4 linked regions of the Mus musculus genome follow. The protein of the gene in region 3 purifies or fractionates together with the protein of the main gene of each other region. This does not show direct contact. Links are inferred from orthologs where the notes say so. Each region holds a gene or a part of one and is shown on either strand. Other genes may lie near its edges.

Region 1 (4,559 bases), on a different chromosome or scaffold from region 3:
GTAAGAGACAGATAATTAATTCAACTTCAGGAAGGGTCCTAGGGAGGGAGGCCAGTGACTTTACTGAGATTGCCACAGGACTGCAGCCTCTTAGGTAGACCAGACTGCTGCCTAGACACTGGGCTAGCTGCTCTACAAGGGGGCTACCTCCAGCATGCCCCATGCCTAGTGTTTACAAAGGACCAGGGATGAGAGCACCTAGGTGGCTCAGCCTATCCAGAACACTGTAGATAGACAGCAAGTGGAAAGCCTGAGGCTATTGCTAAAGTTGAACCTTAGTACACAATTGGCCAGGCTTCACCGAGGAAGTGGGGGTGCCAGACCCCAGCCTGAGCTGCCTCTGCCCAGAGCATGTGGCTGCCCCTCCCACTTGGAAGCCACAGGTCTTCCACGTGCTCCTAGCTGGCTTGCTTTGCCAATGCGTTGCTTTTTCTTTTCCCTGAGAGGAGGGGCTTTCTCTTTGGCCAGTGTTGGCCTGGAACAGACTGGCTGTTGTGTGGGTGCACAAAGGGCTCTCTGTGGGAGGTGTCCACAGGAGGGGCTGTGCAGGGTGAGGGTACAAGTGTGCAGGGAGCTAGTGAATGAGTCCTTTCTAACCACTACTGGCCAGCAACTGCTCATGCATTAGGGCAGGCCTCTTGGTCGGTCCTCAGCTGTCTGGAGTCAGCTTGGGATGTGTGTGTGTGTGTGTGTGTGTGTGTGTGTGTGTGTCTGGGGGTGTGTGTAGGAGAATATGGTGCAAAAGGTAGCCTGATAGGCTTTCCTGCCCCTCTGCCTCCCTCTGCACCGGCCACCGCTCTGAGTGTCCTTGGAGTCCCCACCTTTTCTATGCGGCCAGCCTTCTCTGAAGTGCTCTCCAGCTCTCTCTGCAATCGCTCATTGTCCCTCTGCAGCCTGGCATTCTCCCTCAGTACAGTCTCCATCTGGGCCAGGTGGGCACTGCCCAAGGTGGCCTGGGCACTGGGTGGTCCCTCCACTGCAGGTGGACCAAAGGAGCTTGGGGGTCCATGGCCCAGAGCTGCCGGGTGGAGGGGTGGAGAGTGCTCCTGGGGCTGTGGCAGGTACTGGTACTGCTGCTGCTGGAGGAACACCGGTGGTACCTGGGCCTGCAGGATCCTGGGAAAGAAGAGGTGAATAAAGCTCAGAGCCCCGAGACACACAGCACGCACGTGTGCACGCGCACTCTGACTATTACTGCCAGTGACTGAGCCTCCCCAGTGTTAGGCAGCCACCAGAGGGAGGGCCTGTGCCACAAGGTATGTGCCTAAGACTCAAGAGTCAGAGAGCAGGATGGGTGTGGGGTAGGGTGGCGGTGGCGCTGTATCCAGATGCTCATTCTGTTCAAGCAACCTGGGTCGTCCTAAGCAAATACAGCTTAAATATTACCTTTAAAGACGCGCTCATGACCTTTTGAATTGATAGAAGGATCTTTTGGGATGGAAGCCACACAGAGTCCCCAGGCCCCAGGAAGGGCACTTACTAGTGGATTCTAGCAGGTAAGCCATGTCAGCTAAAACGGCTCACCTGAGTTTTTTCTCCTCTTTGTTTCAAGGGTCTTGCTACCCACAACTACCGAAATTCTTTTCCAAGACCCCAGCTAAGGTTAGAGCAGGGAATCAGATGCCAGGGGGAACAGATTTCAGCTCCAGCTGCTAGGCCTTCAGCAGACCAGTGCTGTAGCTGCCAAGTGGCACCTGTGTCGGCGAAATCACAAGGGTCTCCAGCCACAGAAGCCAGGCTTGACCAAATGGCTGGTAACAGCAGGTTCACCCATGACTGTCTAGCTTCCATCTCTGTTGGTGATCACCTCAGTTAAGGGGCAACCCCTGGATTAGCTCCATAGCAGAGTTCAGGACTGTGTTCTTTCGGCCCTTGGCCATGAGTGTAACACATCCTTACACTCTAATGTTTAGAGAACAGTTAGGCCCAGGTAGCCAGAGGCTCTTTCTGGGGGCCTTGTGACCCCCAAGTGTCACAAGTGCCTTCTCAGTTGTACTCAGAATGTTCTAGAAGCCTCTTGGAAGTTTGGATTTCACTTCTGGATCTCTCATGCCCCCTCTGCCATCCCCAGTGTCCAAAATCACCCCTCTAGCCTATGGCTCGCTCCCCTGTTCTTTGAGCCCCTGACTCAGTCCCTAAAGCCTGCCCATCCTTTTTCCTCCTATAGGCTCCAGGGAGTGCAGAGAAGAGGGCTGCCACTAGACTGACTAAACTCCCCCTTGCTGCCAAGTGTGGTCACTCTTAGGGTTGCCTCAGATAACTGTTGTCCCCCTCCTCCCTACCACAGGCCAGGCAGACACAACTGACATTCTTCGAGAATGATCGAGAGCTCCAGGGAAGAATGGCGACGACTCCTTTCCGTTCACACTTGCTCCTGGTTCTTCCATTTCCCACCGCCCTCCTCCCTATCTTTTTGTTCTCCTGCAAAACAGCCCACTTCCTTGCCTGGATATTATCTTTTCCTGGCAGGGTTCAATAGGGCTGGTCCAAAAGAAGAAACTCTTCCTGACCGGCCCTGAAAAGGGAGGTGAGGTGGGGGTCTGGGGGAGTGGAGGCTAGAGTAAACCCACGAGGCTCCACCCCCCCCACACCCCCACACATCCCCGCTCCCCTGGCTCCCCTACTAGGCCCAAGGCGGCTATTCTCTTCCAGAGTGAAGAAAACCGAATTGGTGGGAAATGGAGGGACCAAATAAGGATTCAGCAAGGGTGACTGACTTTGAACCCAGAGGGTCCCCAGCCAGGTTCCTTGGAGCCCACCTCACCCCACCCCAAAGGAGGTACAGCAATGGTGCCTGTTTCTCTGGAAAAGGCACAGGGGCCAATAAAGATGACTAAGGCAGCCCCTCATTTCTAGGAACATGGACTCCTGCAATGATCTGGCTTCCTGCTTATACTAACTGGGCTCCCAGCCTAGCTCCAATGACCCATTCTCTAAGGCTAGTATTGATCTCTTAAGAGCCAATCATATCATGCCCTCCAATACACACACACACACACACACACACACACACACACACTCCCCGAGAGTTCACACACACACACTCCCCGAGAGTTCACTTCACAGGAAGTCAAGCCAAGTCACTACTCTGGTCCAACAGCATCCTGAGCCCCCCCTTTCCCCCCAAAGCAGCTCACTCACTCACTCACTCACTCACTCATCTAGGCCCATAAGCACAAGGGAAAAGCTAGTAAGTAATTAACTGGCAGACAGTAACTATACAGAAGTGGCCCAGCGAGCCACCTAGTTCTTTCAGCCTCAATAGCAACACCTCCCAATGATGAGCCAACAACAAAAAATGTCCACCTTCTCTTAAAAACCTTCAATAAGTTCCACCTTTGGCCTACTTAACTCGGGAGAAGTTTGGTAAGGATTCCTATTGTCTTTAGTTAGTTCTTTCTTAGAAAAAAAGAAATGCTCACCTTTGAACCCCATTCACATCCCTGGGAGCCCTCCTTATTTGAATGCTATAGACAATGCTATGTATATTTTGAGTTAAAGCAATGATGTCAGTTTCTTTTTGTTTTAGACAGTCTTGCTACGTTGTCCAGGCTGGTGGTGTGATCCTCCTGCCTCACCTAAACATTACAGGCATGCTACCATGACTGGATCAGCTAAATCCCCTTACCCTCCAGCCCCCCCAGCTCTCCCTTCTCAAGACAGGAGAGGGTAGATCTAGATCAGACAGCCCTAGGAACTGGTGGGGGTGCCCTGGGATTGGGATCATGACAGTTGAGATCCACGATATATATGATCTTGGGGTTCTCCTCCTCCTGGGAGACCGAACTAGAAAGAAATCTGGGGTTACCTGACTTCGGCATGCTGGAAGTGTGGGCTGCTTCGGGGTCGGTATCTTGGGTCAGTGACAGCCGCAGTCTCCTGAGCCATTACAGCGTGTGGGTACTGAGGTGGTGGCCCGCGGGGCTCTGGGCCCTCAGCTGGGGGCCCTCGGGGTTGGGGGCCCTGCTGGCTGCGGGCCAGCTGAGGGAAGCTGTGGGAAGAGCTCATGTGGCTGGGGACCCGAGCACCGTTTCTTTCCAGGGACAGTTGCAGAAGCCGTTCACTCAAGGAGCGCACATGGCCATGCCTCAGCTCTCGAAGAGCTTCATCCTGTCGCCGGCCGCCTCCGGACACCCCTCCTCTAGGATCCCGGTCCCCAACATGCGGCCGGGACCCTGCCTGCTGCGCTGCGTAGTACTGCGAATGGGCTTTGGCCTCCTCATAGGTGGGCAACTCTTCTCCTTTGCTGGGCTGTGGGCACAGCCGGTACAGCCTGTTCTCTGCCAGGTGGGTCTCTCCACCCTGATGCTCCTGGCCCTGGGGCTCCTGCCTGGTGGCTTGCTGCAGCACCTGACTGTCCTCGGGTGCTCCGATCTCCAAGGAAGCCTGGGGGCTCCCCGTGCCCCCAGCTCCAGCCCCACCCCGCAGGGCCTGCTGCTGGATAGCCAGCAGAGTGCGAGTCTCTGTCAGGTTGCCGTAGCGCAGCTGCTCTTGGATGAGACGGTGCAGGACTGTCCCTGAGGAGTCTTCCAGTGTCCTCATGCTTCTCTGGCTTGCAC
Region 2 (5,273 bases), on a different chromosome or scaffold from region 3:
CAAAAACAAAGCAAAACAACCAAAAAATAAAAATAAAAAAATCCAACCAACCAACTGAAACAGCAAAATACAACCAAATCCCCAAATTCTCCAAAGATGAAGAATAAATGGTAGAAGGGGAAAAATCTTTACATTAGATAAGAAAAGCTAAAATACTTAGTCAATAAAAATTTACCTGATCAACTCATTTGTAACCAAAGCAGGAAAAAACAAAAAACGAAGAAAAACAAAAAACAAAAACCCAAACAAACAAAAAAACCCAAAACCAAAACCCAATAAAAACCCAAGAGACCATGTGCTGACTTCCTGAAGGGAACCTTCAGATTCTTCAGTAACATGTGGAAATGCAGCTAACTGAGAGGTTTGCTAACAGTGTTTTAACTCAGACATGTCCAGATAGGGTTTACAAAACAGGAAGGAAAAGGAAAAAACGAAAATAGCTTTATCAACCTGGTCCTAATGCTTGTGACCTCAGAAAAGTTTCCTAGCCTGTTTTATGGTCTTTCACTGTAAAACAGCAATAATACTGCCTTCCTCATATGGGGAAAGGAAATAAAACGCTTTCACAAGCACAGATGTATGTCTCCTTGGTATGGATTAATTTTAAGAAATATTAAGCCGGCCAGTGGTGACGCACACCTTTAATCCCAGCACTTGAGAGGCAGAAGCAGGCGGATTTCAGAGTTTGAGGCCAGCCTGGTCTACAGAGTGAGTTCCAGGACAGCCAGGGCTATACAGAGAAATATTAAAGTATTAGGGGCCAAAGACATAGTTCAGCACTTCCTGAATCCTAGCACCCACTTGGTCATCTCACAATTACCTAAACCTCCACGGACCTGACACCCTCTTCTGCCACGCCCCTCTCCAAAGTCTCCCAACATATACAACTTAAAAAGAAAAAAATATGAAAGAGCTACAAACACACACACACACACAGACACATTTAGCATATTAGATAACTGTCATTGGGAATGTAAAAAATGTGAACAAAGAACTTTAGAAAACTCAACTTCATGTTATAACACTATTAATCACAATCTCTGTTCTGAGTTTTTTCCTAAGGTTTTTCTGAACCCCAGCCTCAGTATATTCTTATTGCTAATTAAGTAGCAGTAAATTCTAATTAAATTTAATTAAGTAAGTTTGAATTGTGCTCATTTGGCTCCAAAGGTTAGGATACCTTAGAGTCTATATAAGTCTATATACTATCCTATATATTCTGATCCTTGCATACTTTGACTTAACTAGAGGAAAGTTTTGATTTCATGCCACGTTAAAAACCGGACATTTAGCCGGGCGTGGTGGCGCACACCTTTAATCCCGCAACAACAACAACTACAACAACAACAACAACAACAAAATACCAGGCATTTACTTCACAGAATTAGTTAGGACTTTGCATTTGTTTATGAAAAAGTCCAAATAAACTTAGTAGAGAAGCAAAAAGTTGATTCAGTTTTAGATAATAAAAGTTTAAACTGCTATTAATCAGTTAATCAAACAGACCAGCTTTGCTCTGATGTCCCACCACCAGAATGGCTAGTAAATGTTGTTTCAGCAGTTGTTGATTTACAGTCACAATACATTATCCACATTAAAATCCTACATATACAGCTGGGAAAACGGCTCAGTGGCAGAGTGCTCACCTAATATGTACAAGGCTCTCAACTCAATACAACATGGTGGGAAGAAGGAAAAGAGGAGATAGGAGAGGGTAGAGAGAAGGGAGACACTTAGAAATGAGTTAAACACTCTATACCAAATATATGCTCATTAAGTTTGTGCACCAGTGAATTGTGCTTTGATGATTTTGAAGCAAACAGGAACTTGGTCATATGTACTGGTATTTTGCTGTGGAATTGTACTGTGGAACTTTTGAGAATATGCTAGGTCTGTTAGAATTCTTGATCAGAATCGGACTTGACACCAACTGCCTTGCTTATCCTGCTAACTGGCAAAAACCAACTAGGACTTCATTCCTACCAATATTTTGAGCTTTCTACTGTTTAACTGAAAAACTTCCTAACAGCAAAAAGCAGATGTCAGAGGGAAAAGGTCCACATTTTGTGCTTCATTTAAAGATACAAAAGAACGCCATCTTGTTTGAAACTTGCAACTCTTCTGGTTAACACCAACAGATTTGTTCCTGTGTAACAATGTGTTCAAAGCACATTGACACCGTAGTACTTGAGGGGAAAATGACACAGCTGTAAGCCTACCTTATTCTTTCCCAAGCTACCCTGTCACAAACAAGTTCATTTATTTAAAAAGAAACAAAAGGCTCCCATGGTCACTACAATAAAAAGCAAAACGAATCATAATCAGCACAGTGTGTGAGGAAAGAGGTTCTATTACATACACAAATTTTATAAAATGATTTCCTTCTTGGACGATATTGAGATTATAATTGTGAATACTAAATATATGCAATGTCAAACTCCATCCCAGGCGATGTTTGCCAACAGCACTCGAAATGCTTAACTGGTACTTTCTGGTTACTATGACTACCGAATTGTACAAAGCTTGTTCCAGTTGTCTGAAATTTAAGTTGGGGCAGAACAGAGTACAATACTGGAAAGCTGCAACTGGACCCTGGGAGAGTCTTTTCACAGGCTTCTCTTCAATCGGGTTGGTTTTTCTTGGCTGTTTGCTCTAAGAAGCAATCAACCAACCAGGTTTCCAAGTGTAGGGTTTATGAGTATGGAATTGCATGGCACTTAAAAGTGACTTACAATCAAATCACTACTCCACCTAGTTATGTAATCTCCTTCCCAAGATCAAGTCAGTTGGAGGGTTTTTTTTTTGTTTGTTTTTTGTTTTTGTTTTTGTAAGCATCCTCTCCGTGGCTGGAGGGGTGCGAAAGTTAGGAAAGAGCAACTCAAAGCCCGGAGGCTGTGGTCACAGTACTGAAGGAGTCTGAGTTTTAAATGGGGGCGAGGGAGTTTCTGCGGGAATGTGTCTGTGTCGGCCAAGTGGCAGAACCAGGCCAAGAGGCCACACTGATCTGTTCGCGCACACTGACCGTAGACAGTGCCGGGCTGCGTGGTGGCCTCGGCTTTTAGGGTCTATGAAGCTGAAAGCCGATGCTGCGGTGCGGACCCAGGGAGCGCCCGTGCCTACAGCCGTGGGCAGGCCGCTGAGCCGTGCTGTGCCCGCCGCCAGCCTCAACGGCCGGCTCTGGCGAGCTTTCAAACGCCAGCCAGCGCCCCCCGCGAGCAGCGCCCGGCGCCGAGGCCGCCGAGGGCTTCCGGGGCTCAGCGTCCGGGTCACCTTGCCTCCGCTCCGGCCCGCAGGCAGAGCGGTTCGTAGTCTCGACCCGCCCCACCCACCGCGGCCGCGACCCCCGCCGCACTCACCCCTTTCCAGCCGGACAGGTTCGCCCAGCGCCGCCATCTTCTCTTCGGAGGTGCAGACCCACAGGAAGTGACGACAGAGGGGCCGCGGTGGACCAGGCCGAGAAAGCGGAAGGGCGAGGATGGTAGTAACGCGAGAGCTAGAAGGATGCGGGTAACTACGCAGAGCGGTAGCCGGGGACGCTTTGCGACCGACGGGTGGCCTCCTTTCGTGGGTCTGTGCTCGTCCACTTCCAACAACCTGAGGTTGAAAAGAACCGATGTCCCGAGTGTCCCCTGCCTCGGGGAAGTCAGGACCTTAGTTCCGGCCCTTACCCGACCGACGGCAGCCTCTGACCGTCTAGGCTGGTTTCCCCATGTCCGAGTCCTCTTATAAATTCTTAATATCCTAGCTTGATCTAATTTAAAAAATTTACAATTCGAATTTTATCTAAAACTCTCTTTGAGCAGAAAGGTGGGAAAAAAAACAACCGGGAGAGAACGCTTTGGTATACACGAAGTATTGTTTTTAGTTAGCCGATTCAAAATCTGCTTGTGAATGAAGGATGAAGCATAGATTTTGTTTTATGGGTACATTTTGTAATTTGTAAGAATTTTTATATTAATGGGTGTTTTGCCCTTATGTATATCTGCACCATTTACAAACCTGAGGCCACAAGAGGGCATCTATTCCCCTGGAACTGGAGTTACAGATGGTTGAGACCTGCCCTGTGGGTGTTGGGAATCTAACCCCAGGACCCCTGGAAAAGGAGCCAGTACTCCTAACAGCACTGTCTGTCATCTCCAGATCCTCATAGGGCCACTCTTGAAGACTTGGTGGACCCAAATATTTTTAGTCACTAATTTCAATGAAATAATTTTTGTGAAACTTGGATTTGGGTAGCAAAGATCATAGTCCAGTGTTAAGTTTGTAACACCTGCACGACAGGATTGTTTTAATAGCTGGTTGCAGGTGACCCATTCTTTCCGTTGAACTGCAGTTTTCTACATGTTGTTATTAGGTAGTTGAATCCCACCACTGGGCAGTAGCCTTCAAGCTTCCTCATGCTCCATACAAATGACACAGGTTTTCTTGGCTGACAGGAGCTATTCTTATGAGCTGGGGTTACACATTACTTACTTTTCCAGAGACTCGAATCTGCAGACTTGTACAAGCTACACAAATCTGAGCTTTATCTCTATCTTCTGCTCCTTTGGAGTAGTCTTTTTCCATGTCTTTGATGATAAACACACAAAAAATCCCAGAATTCCAGGCTTACGCAGAAGACCATAAAAGTTTCCAGAGAATAAAAGGTCACCTTCTAAGGACTAGAAATTGAAACAGGATGCACTTTCTTTCCTTAACACAGCTGGAAGGACTCTGCAAGCTATAAAACTGTTACAGAAAATTGAATAATTCTCAAACTAGAATTCCCTCCTTGTTTTCTAGAGCTTCCATAGTGAAGTATAACAAGCGGAATGTTTTAAAACCACAGATAATTGCCTCACAAATCTGAGAGCTACAAGTCAGGAATAAAGGTACTATGTTCATTTCTAATCTACAGGAACCCTTCCTTGTCTCTGCCTGGCTTTCTAGCAGTTTTCTGGAAGTCTCTGGTGTTCCTGACTTGTGCTACTCAGCATCTTAGTTAGGGTTTTACTGCTGTAAACAGACACCGTGACCAAGGCAAGTCTTACAAAGACAACATTTAATTGGGGCTGGCTTACAGGTTCAGAGGTTCAGTCCATTATCATCAAGGCAAGAGCATGGCAGCATCCAGGCTGGTATGGTGCAGGAGGAGCTGAGAGTTCAACATCTTCATCTGAAGGCTGCAAGTGGAAGACTGACTTCCAGGCACTTAGGAAGTTGCTGTGATAGCCCACACCCACAAGTGACACACCTACTCCAACAAGGCCTCACCTGCCTCAACTGAGCCATAC
Region 3 (4,559 bases):
GCTCTGTCACTGACAGGAAGACTTCTCTGGAGTTTGCAGGCTAGCCACCAGCCTAGCCAGATCAGTCAGTTCCAGGTTAAGTGACTTTGCTCCAAATATGAGATGGAAAGAGATTGAAGACTTCCAGCACACACATACGCGGTCACACACACACACACACAGAGTAATAGAGTAATAAAAATAATTTTTAAAAAGAGTGCATTAAGTACTTTATGTAACTGGTTCCATCTTGGAGAATAAAAGGAAAGGTCATGATAATATTAAAGTAAATACTTAAGAAAATTAGTTTTATAAAAAAGATTTGTTTATTCATTATGAGTATGTGTCTGAGTGTATTTATATGTGCCACATGCATGCAGGTGCCTGCAGAGGATGAAAGGGAGTTGGATCCCCTGGCTTGAGTTACAGGGGTTTGTAAGCTGTCCAGTGTGGGTGCTAGGAACAAAAATCTGTGTCCCTTGTAGGAACTGCTGTAACCACTGAGCCCCACAAAATAGGTTTTATCTTATTTTACTGTTCTAGCTTTTGAGTATACACTTTCCCACTGTTCTTTCAATTTGTATAATAAATATTAGTATTTAATACATTTGGCTATAGCTGTGTTTAACATTTGTATAGTTAGCCATATAGCTATTTATCCCTTAATTATATTTTGAATTTTAAGAAATTCTTTATAGTTAAGCACTGTGTTAATTATGCCTAGATGTTTTCTAGGTGTTGGAATAGAATGCAGCAGAAAAAAAGTTGATTTTATGTCTTTAAACACAGTGTATTTTTTTTCTGCTTTTATATGCTTCAGAAGTCTGTACTTCAGAATTCTAATGAATACAGTATCTCTGAGACAGAAATGTTGGGTGGGGAATACTTAGCTTTCGTGTTACAATTACAGTTGTTACTTTAGCAATGTGAGGAAATCTTTTTTTCTTAAGATAAGCTAAACTAAGGACTAGTCTTACTAGATTTAAAAGAATAAAATTTAAAAATGAAATGCTTAACAAAAAATTGCATTTTTATGTTTAAATTAGATATTGGGTGTTTTTAGGGTGCCACAGTTCGTAATGAAATGGATTCTGTCATCATAAGCCGGATAGTGAAAGGAGGCGCCGCAGAGAAGAGTGGCCTCCTGCACGAAGGAGACGAAGTTCTGGAGATCAACGGCATTGAAATCCGGGGCAAGGATGTCAATGAGGTTTTTGACTTGTTGGTACGTTCAGACTGTAGAAGATTTGATTCATTTAAAAGCTTGTTTTGTTATTAAACTTAGATCATTAGAGAACATTTTTTAAAATAACTAATGAGTATAAGGTAGTTTTTAGCCTAACTTTTACAGAATTTGTCAATTTTTGTTATTATATATTTAGTTTTAGGTTTATTTTTATTTACTTTGAGTTTTATTATAACTTTTATTTTTACTTTTACTATTTTTTTAAAGATTTGTTTCTATGTATTTCTGTACACCTTGTACATTCCTGGTGAATTAAATTAAAACTCAGTTTCTTATTCACACTAGCTATAGTTGAACAAGATTGATTATGTAGTTAATGGCTGTTGTCTGAGATAGCCACTACACATCTCTGTTGAGTAAATTATCCTGGACAGTGCTGGTATACTTTGGTACTCACTTTTAATTACCTTCTTAAAAATAATTTTCTAAGATTTACTTACTTTATGCCTTATGAGTGTTTTACCTGCATGAATATGTTCCACATACATGACTGGTATCTGAGAAAGTCGGGAAAAGACATTGGATTCCTTAAAGCTGGAGCTACATATGGTTGTGAGCCAAAATATGGGTGCTGGGAATCAAACCGAGATCCTCTGCAAGGGCCACAAGTGCTCTTAACTGATGAACAGTCTTTTGTTGTTTTTTGATTGTTTGTTTTGAGGTCTCATTATGAAGTCCTAGCTAGCCAGGAACTCACTATGTAGACTAGGCTGGTCTGAAATTCAGAGATATACCTGTCCATGTCTCCTAAGTGCTGGAATTAAAAGCATGTGCCACCATGCTTAGCCTCATTGTCTTGAAAATGATGTTTAATCATATTGTATACAACACAACATATGATTTTTCTTTTTCCTTTTTGAAGGCAAGGTCTGAAATAAAACACATTATATAGCCCAGACTGACCTTTTTGGTGATTCTCCTCCCATGGCACCAGCCAGTACTCCCCTCTACAAACCCATGTGCATATTCTTAATCATTCAACATGAGGTGATACAGTAGTATGTCTCCTACCTGCTGATATCTATTGTAAAAGCTAGAAAATATCCATGTCCCTCTTTCCACCAAATCTCTGCTCATACATAGCTCTGTAGAGCAAAGTGCCATTGATGGTCACTCATGGTCCATTTGATTGGTACTGGCTTGCACTGTGCACTGTTTGTATTTTGTATAAACATTATGAAGAATGCTGTCTAGTCTGGATATGTCTGAATACAGCTAGTGCTGTACTGGGCAGGAATTATGAATCTAGCTGCACAACTCAATACAGTAAACAGTGGACAGGAAGACTAAATAATGAAAGTAGCTAGGGATGGGAAATGTTTTCGTATAGGACTGAGGGAATTCTGCCATCATCCTGTTTAAAGTGTGTTAATCATAAGATCATGGGAGATTTTTAAAGTATTTTAACCTTTCTGTTACAGTCTGATATGCATGGTACTTTGACATTTGTTCTGATTCCTAGTCAACAGATCAAGCCCCCTCCTGCCAAAGAAACTGTAGTAAGTAATTTTAAAATTACTTATTTTAAAATTGTTTATTCTTCTTTGACTTATGTCTAATTTTCTGTATCAGAAACTTCACTGAATATAGTTTGTTCAAGTAAAAACAGAAATCACGTAATTGTATTTAAATAAGTATAAAAATCAACTTTTAAAATGTAGTAAACTCTGAACTTTTTAAAAGTAAAATATACAACATAGTTCAACTTCAGACTAACAGTGTTGTTTGTCTTCAGGTATAATTAAGTTTTGCTCAGTCACATAGAGAAGGGTACTTTAACAAATGTGTGTAAGTCATTACTCTGGTGTATTTCTATCTACTAAGTATTTAACACAGCTCTATTAAATGATAGATTTGATTACTGTACAACCTAGCAATTCCTGGTAATAGAACAATCGTACATGAATATTCAGGCATGTATTATTTATAAGACCCAAAATATAAAAACAACTTAAAAATAGCAACAGCCACCAGCAATAACTTGAAAATACAACATAGTTTATCTGTCTGTACACTGAAATCTTACTTGATTGAAAAGGGCTGAGGTGTGAGTATATGCTACAAAATAGATAAGCTTGAAAAATTTATGGCAATCACAAGCCCTTTACTGGTTTATTTACATACAGTATCCAAAATAGGTAAGCCCATAGAAACAGAAAAATTTCAGTGGCTCCTTAGATGGAGATTTGGGAAAGAATGGAAATAGCTCCTTATCAGTATTTGGTCCAGAAGGTTGAAAATATTCTAACAATATCAATGGTAAGCCTCTGTCTCTGCATATACTAAAACCATAAATGGTGTAGCATATTAACTACATCATAAGCAATTAAAAATGAGGTTTTAAGTTCCTAAATTGACATAGAAGCCTGATCTTTATATATTTGTTATTTTTTATCATTATTTTTGTTTAGTTATCATATCAAATCATGGTTTTATCATAACATTTTCATACATGTATCATACATTTTCATACATGTATAGCATTCTGCTTTGCTCATAGTCACCACAGGTGTGTTGTTTTATTTAGCTCTTTCTGTTTTCTGTTTTGTTTTGTTTTTTTCCAGAACATACTGCGGTCGGTGTTGCGTGTGCAACCTTTTTTATGTTTAGAATTCTTTGTAGGAAGAAACATGAGGAAACAGACTTGGCCTCTGAATTTAGTCATTTCTCTGTACTTGCTATGCCTTTCCATGTGTCTGTCCTGTAAATAAGGCTCAAGTGTGAAAAGAGGCTCTGCACACTGAAGAGGGTTAGAACATGCTGTCTTCTAAATGCTCCTGATAACCCATCCTTCCTCAGTAAATGATTTTTGTCTTTTGAGAATGAGTGTCAGAGGTTGAGGTATATTTTATCAGCTTTTCTTTTCTGCTGTTCATGCAGTTATAATAAAAGTTATTTCTTTTACAGTTACACATTTATTTTTTTAAGGTGTGCATATGCAGTACAGCATCTACATGGTCATCAGGGAGTCAGTTCTCTCCTTCCACCTTGTGGGTCTCAGAAATCAAAATTGGGTCGTCAGGTTTGGCAGCAAGCCCTGTACCCACTGAGGTATCTTGGTGGCCTGTTAAAGTTACTTTAATAGATAAAACTAGCATGCTATATTGATACTGCTGCTTCTCAGTTAATGTGGTATGTTGTCACTTGTTTTCAGCAAATGCAAAATCAGAGTCCTGAAATCATCCATTCATCACAGCTGTTGGTTAGCTTTGGATTTTGGGGACAGGGTAGTATTGACCATCCTGGAACCCGCTCTGTAGACCTCAGTCTCACAAGTGTTGCCATTAAAGGTGTGCATATCCATGCCTGACACTTGTTTGGGTTTTTTTATAAA
Region 4 (4,559 bases), on a different chromosome or scaffold from region 3:
CTACATATACATACACACTACATACACACACACACACATATATATATATACACACACACATAACTCATACAAAAAAATGTATCAAAAATTGTAAATAGACAATAAATGCCAAGAGCTGAGAATGGAGCACAGTGGTAGATAGAGTTCCAGCATACGCAAAGCCTCGACTTGAACTCAGCACCAAAGACGGATAGAAGGATGGACGAATAGAAGGAAGGAAGGAAGGAAGGAGGGAGGTTAAAGCTATTTTATAACTTTGAAGAAAATGTTGAGATTCTAAAGCATTTGGTTTTTACAAATTTATCACATCCCATAGCCTAGCATAAACTTCATCAATATTTATACCATCCACAGATGCTATCTACAGCTTTCAGGCCCCACACAGCTTTTACTAATCTAAGAGTCGCAATCCTCCCGGCTCCTCCTGTATTCCTGCTGGTCGGAATCCACCCAGGTAAGGCCGGCTGAGCAACTTACCTGTCCCTTCAGCTGCTTGATGGACTGCTGCAGTGTAAGGATCTGGTTGAAGAGAGGGCTCTTCAGCGTCTCGTAGAACGCAGACAGCTTCTCGTTCTGCGTCGTGTCTCCCTTCTCCTGCAGCTTCCCTCGAAGGCGATCCAGGACCTGCAGGACCTGCATCTTCTCTTGGTTGGAGAAAGGTGATCAGAGCTCAAGTCAGACACCATCTCACAATCCATTTTTGAATCATTACATAACAACAATAAAAATATATAGCGTCTATACCTGCAGCAGGGTTTTCAGGCATTTTGGGATATTCTTTTCAATCACTTCCAAAAAGTCTAAAGGAAAAAATTAACTTTCATTACAGATGTCTGCAGTCCTATGGGGAAACTAAAGCAAACTTCAGAGCGTTCTTTATTAAGACTGTACTGGGTGAAATTCAAACTAAAACCACAATAAGGCACTAACGCATGTCTACTCAGATGAGGAAATTTTAACAAGACCAGAGTGAGTGTTGGCAAGGCTGAAAGGCACATCATGCCAGAAAGAAAATAAAATGACACAGTCCCTTGGGGAAAGTACTTGATATTTTATTTTTACTTAATTTTTATAGTTTAAATCATAAGTAGTTTCTTTTTCTTCTTCTTCTTCTTTTTTCTTGTGCTTTTGGTTTTTTGAGGCAGGGTTTCTCTGTGTAGTCCTGGCTGTCCTAGAACTCCCTGTTTAGACCAGGCTGGCCTCGATCTCATACATATCTGCCTGCCTCTGCCTACTGAGCACCAGTATTAAAGATGTGCTCCACCACCACCTGGCATCATAAGTAGTTTCTTATAAAGTTAAAAAGTACTAATTAATAACACACTCCTCCTGCTTAGAAACATTTACCAAGAGTAACGAAAAAAAATATGACCCATATGTGAGAGAACACAATACCATTTGTAAAAGGCCCCAAGTAGGAATACTCAGATGCCCAATCACAGACAAGTGGATAAACTAATGAGCGTTATATAACCCTTGGGGGAAGGGTTGCTGACACAACTGTAAGGATGAACCCGGAAACTACTCTGCTGGGGATGGGAGGTGGGGGAGTGGCTCGGGTGGCAGAGTCCATGACTACGCAGGATGCCTCAGGTCTCATCCCTAGTACCACATAAAACACATTACAAGTGATGCGTGACTATAATCCCAACACTTGGGAGGACTGGACAGGACAGGACAGGACAGGACAGGAGAATCAGGAATTCAAGGCCAGGTTAGACTACGAGGGATATGTGTCAACAACACAACTAACAAGGCTGTCATCAGCATTGGTAAAGGTCCAAGCGGTCCATGAAAGTGTTCCCCAGTGTGAAAATTCCCCCAAGGACCTGTGAACAGGACATCTCAGAAACACTTCTCAGCATCAGAATTGCACAGCTCTGGCAACAGTAAACAGGCAGCTACACAAACAGGACACCCAGCATGGCACCATCCTTCTCCATACCAGCACAGAGCCCCAAACCACCAGTCTGATGGCCATTAATCTAGCAAGATCAATAAAGCAAAGAATGCAAGCTCAAAATTGTAGGATGCCATTGTTATAGCTGAATGTCAGCCTGGTATGTTCTAGTTCATCAGAGAATAACAAGAACCTGGACTGCAGATATCTCTGATAAGAAGGCGGAGAGGACAAATCTACATGATCTTTTAGAAGGACAAATGTAGACGTGTACATTTAATTTACATTCTCTTTCCCCAGAATTTCAATTTCTGAGTGGGTGGCACTCGTGCTCTCTCTCTCTCTCTCTCTCTCTCTCTCTCTCTATATATATATATATATATATATATATATATATATATATATATATATATATCAGCACAATGATGTACGCACATGAGTAGTTTTTACGCTCTTTTTCATAGAGAAACTCCTGCAAACGTCAATTCTCACTAGTCACTGAAATGATGACTAAGTCAGAGTATGCTGAAGAGAAAAAGAAAAAAACATCACAGCATGTGGCTCTCTCCTTCAGCCTCTGGAGGCTCCCTGGCTGTAGTCCTCTTAGCAAATACACTTTAACAGAGTTCTTTATCTTAAAATGTCAGGCACAGTCTGAGAATCCATAGAGTCATGGGCATGGCTGGCTGCGAAACAGGAGACAGAGACACTTTTGTTTACCCAAGTAAAGAAAAGTTTATGAAAAAAAGGCTTCCAAGACAGAGAAGTTTTCCTTGAGTTCCAGGCCAGCAAGACCCAATCTGAAAGGAAATACATAAAAATAAAACTAAAGTAAGCATAACTAAAGTAAGCATGGAAAAACAAATGTAAAAAGAAAGAAGGAAGGAAAGACAGACAAACTTTATTTAGAAAAAAAAATTTATATATATATATATATGTATATGTGGATATATATATATATATATATATATATATATATATATATATATCAGAATTTTCCAGGTTTTTTTTTTTTAAGTATGGTGCTTTAAAAATAAAAAAGTGTCTTCATGGACTTAAAAGCACATATTTTCAAGGCAATTATTAGAAGCAGATCATCACCAGAGTCTAGGACTCTGGACCACCCCAGTGTGGTGGATCAGACCCTTGTGCACACTAAGCTCACACTATACAGTCCACCTACATGCCTAGCTCCATCATATCTTCTTAAAAGCCATAACTATGCACCTGCAGGTCATGTTTGGTTACCATGTGATTAAAAACCTAATTCAACAGGGCAGGCTATATGATCCTGACTACAATGAACTAGAGGATAAATCTTCTCTAAATCTGAGAGATTTGTGGTTCTACATGACATCTCTAATGGCCAGCAAATATTCTTTGCATTTCATTATTCTCTCCTGCTCAAGGGAACATATTCCTGGCATCAAAACCATTTGCTTACCAACAAACCACTTGCTATTCAAAATAAGCGTGTTCTGAGACTGAATTTTACTTCGATGGACAATAAGAATTTCAGTAAGAGGCTGTAAAAATGCACTCAGGAGTGGTTTCCTATATCGACACTTCAAGCATGTTGGCAGTGTTCCGTCAAGTGAGGGGAAGTGACATTTACCTGCTGGCTAGGGCTCCTCCAGCAGACAGCTATCTGCATCTCACTCCTGAAACAGGTACAGTTGGAATTGAGTGACATCTTGAATCCATGTAAGAACTGAGCATGCTGGGAAATCTACCCTTTGTATAAAACAGGAAAACTGTACAACATGCACAAGTGTTGTGAAACGCAGCACTTAAGGGATATTTGGGTTATTTTCATACTTCTGTAAGACAGAAACGTGTGCACTGGGGAATTTTCTAGAAAAAAAAATTTAGGAAGCAATAGTTATTGCTTCCAGAAAATAGAAAAGAGGAATATAAAAGTTAGCCTTTGAGGACTGAGGTTAGAACTCAGTGGTAGAGCGTGTATGCATGAGAGCCTGGATTCAATCCCCAACACCAGAGAAAAATAATAACAAAAATTAGTCTCTTTTACTTTATAGATTTTGGGGTTGTTTGAATTTTTATTAAAAAAAAATACGGACTTAAGATTTTAGTTCAGTGGTAGAATAGCATGTGAGACTCTCAAGTTTTATTCTCTCCACTACAATAAAAATACACAAAAACAAGTACTAATTTTATAATTATAGAACAGTGGTAAAAGTGTCAGATGTGGTACCACATACCTGTAATCCCAGCACTCGGGAGGCCAAGACAGGAGGATTCAAGTTTGAGGACAGCCTGGGCTACACAGTAAGACCCTATCTCAGGGGGACAAAAAAAAAAATCCAAGAAAAATTAAGGCCAAAAACGGCCAACACTTTTCAGACTTCTGTTGGCTCATGAGACTTCAATTTCCTACTAACAAACATCTGCTCATCTATCTGGGATTTTGGGAAGTAAGGTCACTGGCTATCTTGCTGGGAAAGCACAGGCACTCACTGAAGTGCGCATTTCAACTGGACCTTTACACCTGGGTGATTCACAACTCCAGAGCTCACTGAACCAGGAAGCTTGAAAAATATCCATGAGCTTAATATAATATTACATATAAAGTCTTAATGAAGTTCTTAAAAAAAAAAGTCCACTCCCTTCAGAGCCAGGGGTCAGGATTTATCCTGGT

The links.
Region 1: the proteins of Mpp5 (region 3) and Amotl2 purify together in Homo sapiens (affinity purification with mass spectrometry; 3 studies listed by BioGRID and IntAct, counting the BioPlex papers as one, with this or other methods). This does not show direct contact. The link is inferred for Mus musculus from reciprocal best matches to the Homo sapiens genes PALS1 and AMOTL2.
Region 2: the proteins of Mpp5 (region 3) and Lin7c purify together in Homo sapiens (affinity purification with mass spectrometry; 3 studies listed by BioGRID and IntAct, counting the BioPlex papers as one, with this or other methods). This does not show direct contact. The link is inferred for Mus musculus from reciprocal best matches to the Homo sapiens genes PALS1 and LIN7C.
Region 4: the proteins of Mpp5 (region 3) and Patj purify together in Homo sapiens (co-immunoprecipitation; 5 studies listed by BioGRID and IntAct, counting the BioPlex papers as one, with this or other methods). This does not show direct contact. The link is inferred for Mus musculus from reciprocal best matches to the Homo sapiens genes PALS1 and PATJ.

Annotation. Positions count from the first base shown.
Region 1 is NC_000075.6:102,720,126-102,724,684, reverse strand, and holds part of Amotl2 (angiomotin-like protein 2), read right to left. Parts: coding exon of another isoform or gene 4,543-4,559; coding exon 3,809-4,542; intron 1,117-3,808; coding exon 822-1,116; intron 1-821. UniProt on the Homo sapiens protein: Regulates the translocation of phosphorylated SRC to peripheral cell-matrix adhesion sites. Required for proper architecture of actin filaments.
Region 2 is NC_000068.7:109,889,005-109,894,277, reverse strand, and holds the start of Lin7c (protein lin-7 homolog C), read right to left. Parts: upstream 3,401-5,273; 5' UTR 3,394-3,400; coding exon 3,357-3,393; intron 1-3,356. UniProt on the Homo sapiens protein: Plays a role in establishing and maintaining the asymmetric distribution of channels and receptors at the plasma membrane of polarized cells.
Region 3 is NC_000078.6:78,818,162-78,822,720, forward strand, and holds part of Mpp5 (MAGUK p55 subfamily member 5), read left to right. Parts: intron 1-1,025; exon of another isoform or gene 1,026-1,042; coding exon 1,043-1,204; intron 1,205-2,646; coding exon 2,647-2,724; intron 2,725-4,559. UniProt on the Homo sapiens protein: Plays a role in tight junction biogenesis and in the establishment of cell polarity in epithelial cells.
Region 4 is NC_000070.6:98,401,620-98,406,178, reverse strand, and holds part of Patj (inaD-like protein), read right to left. Parts: intron 801-4,559; 5' UTR 767-800; coding exon 745-766; intron 645-744; coding exon 478-644; intron 1-477.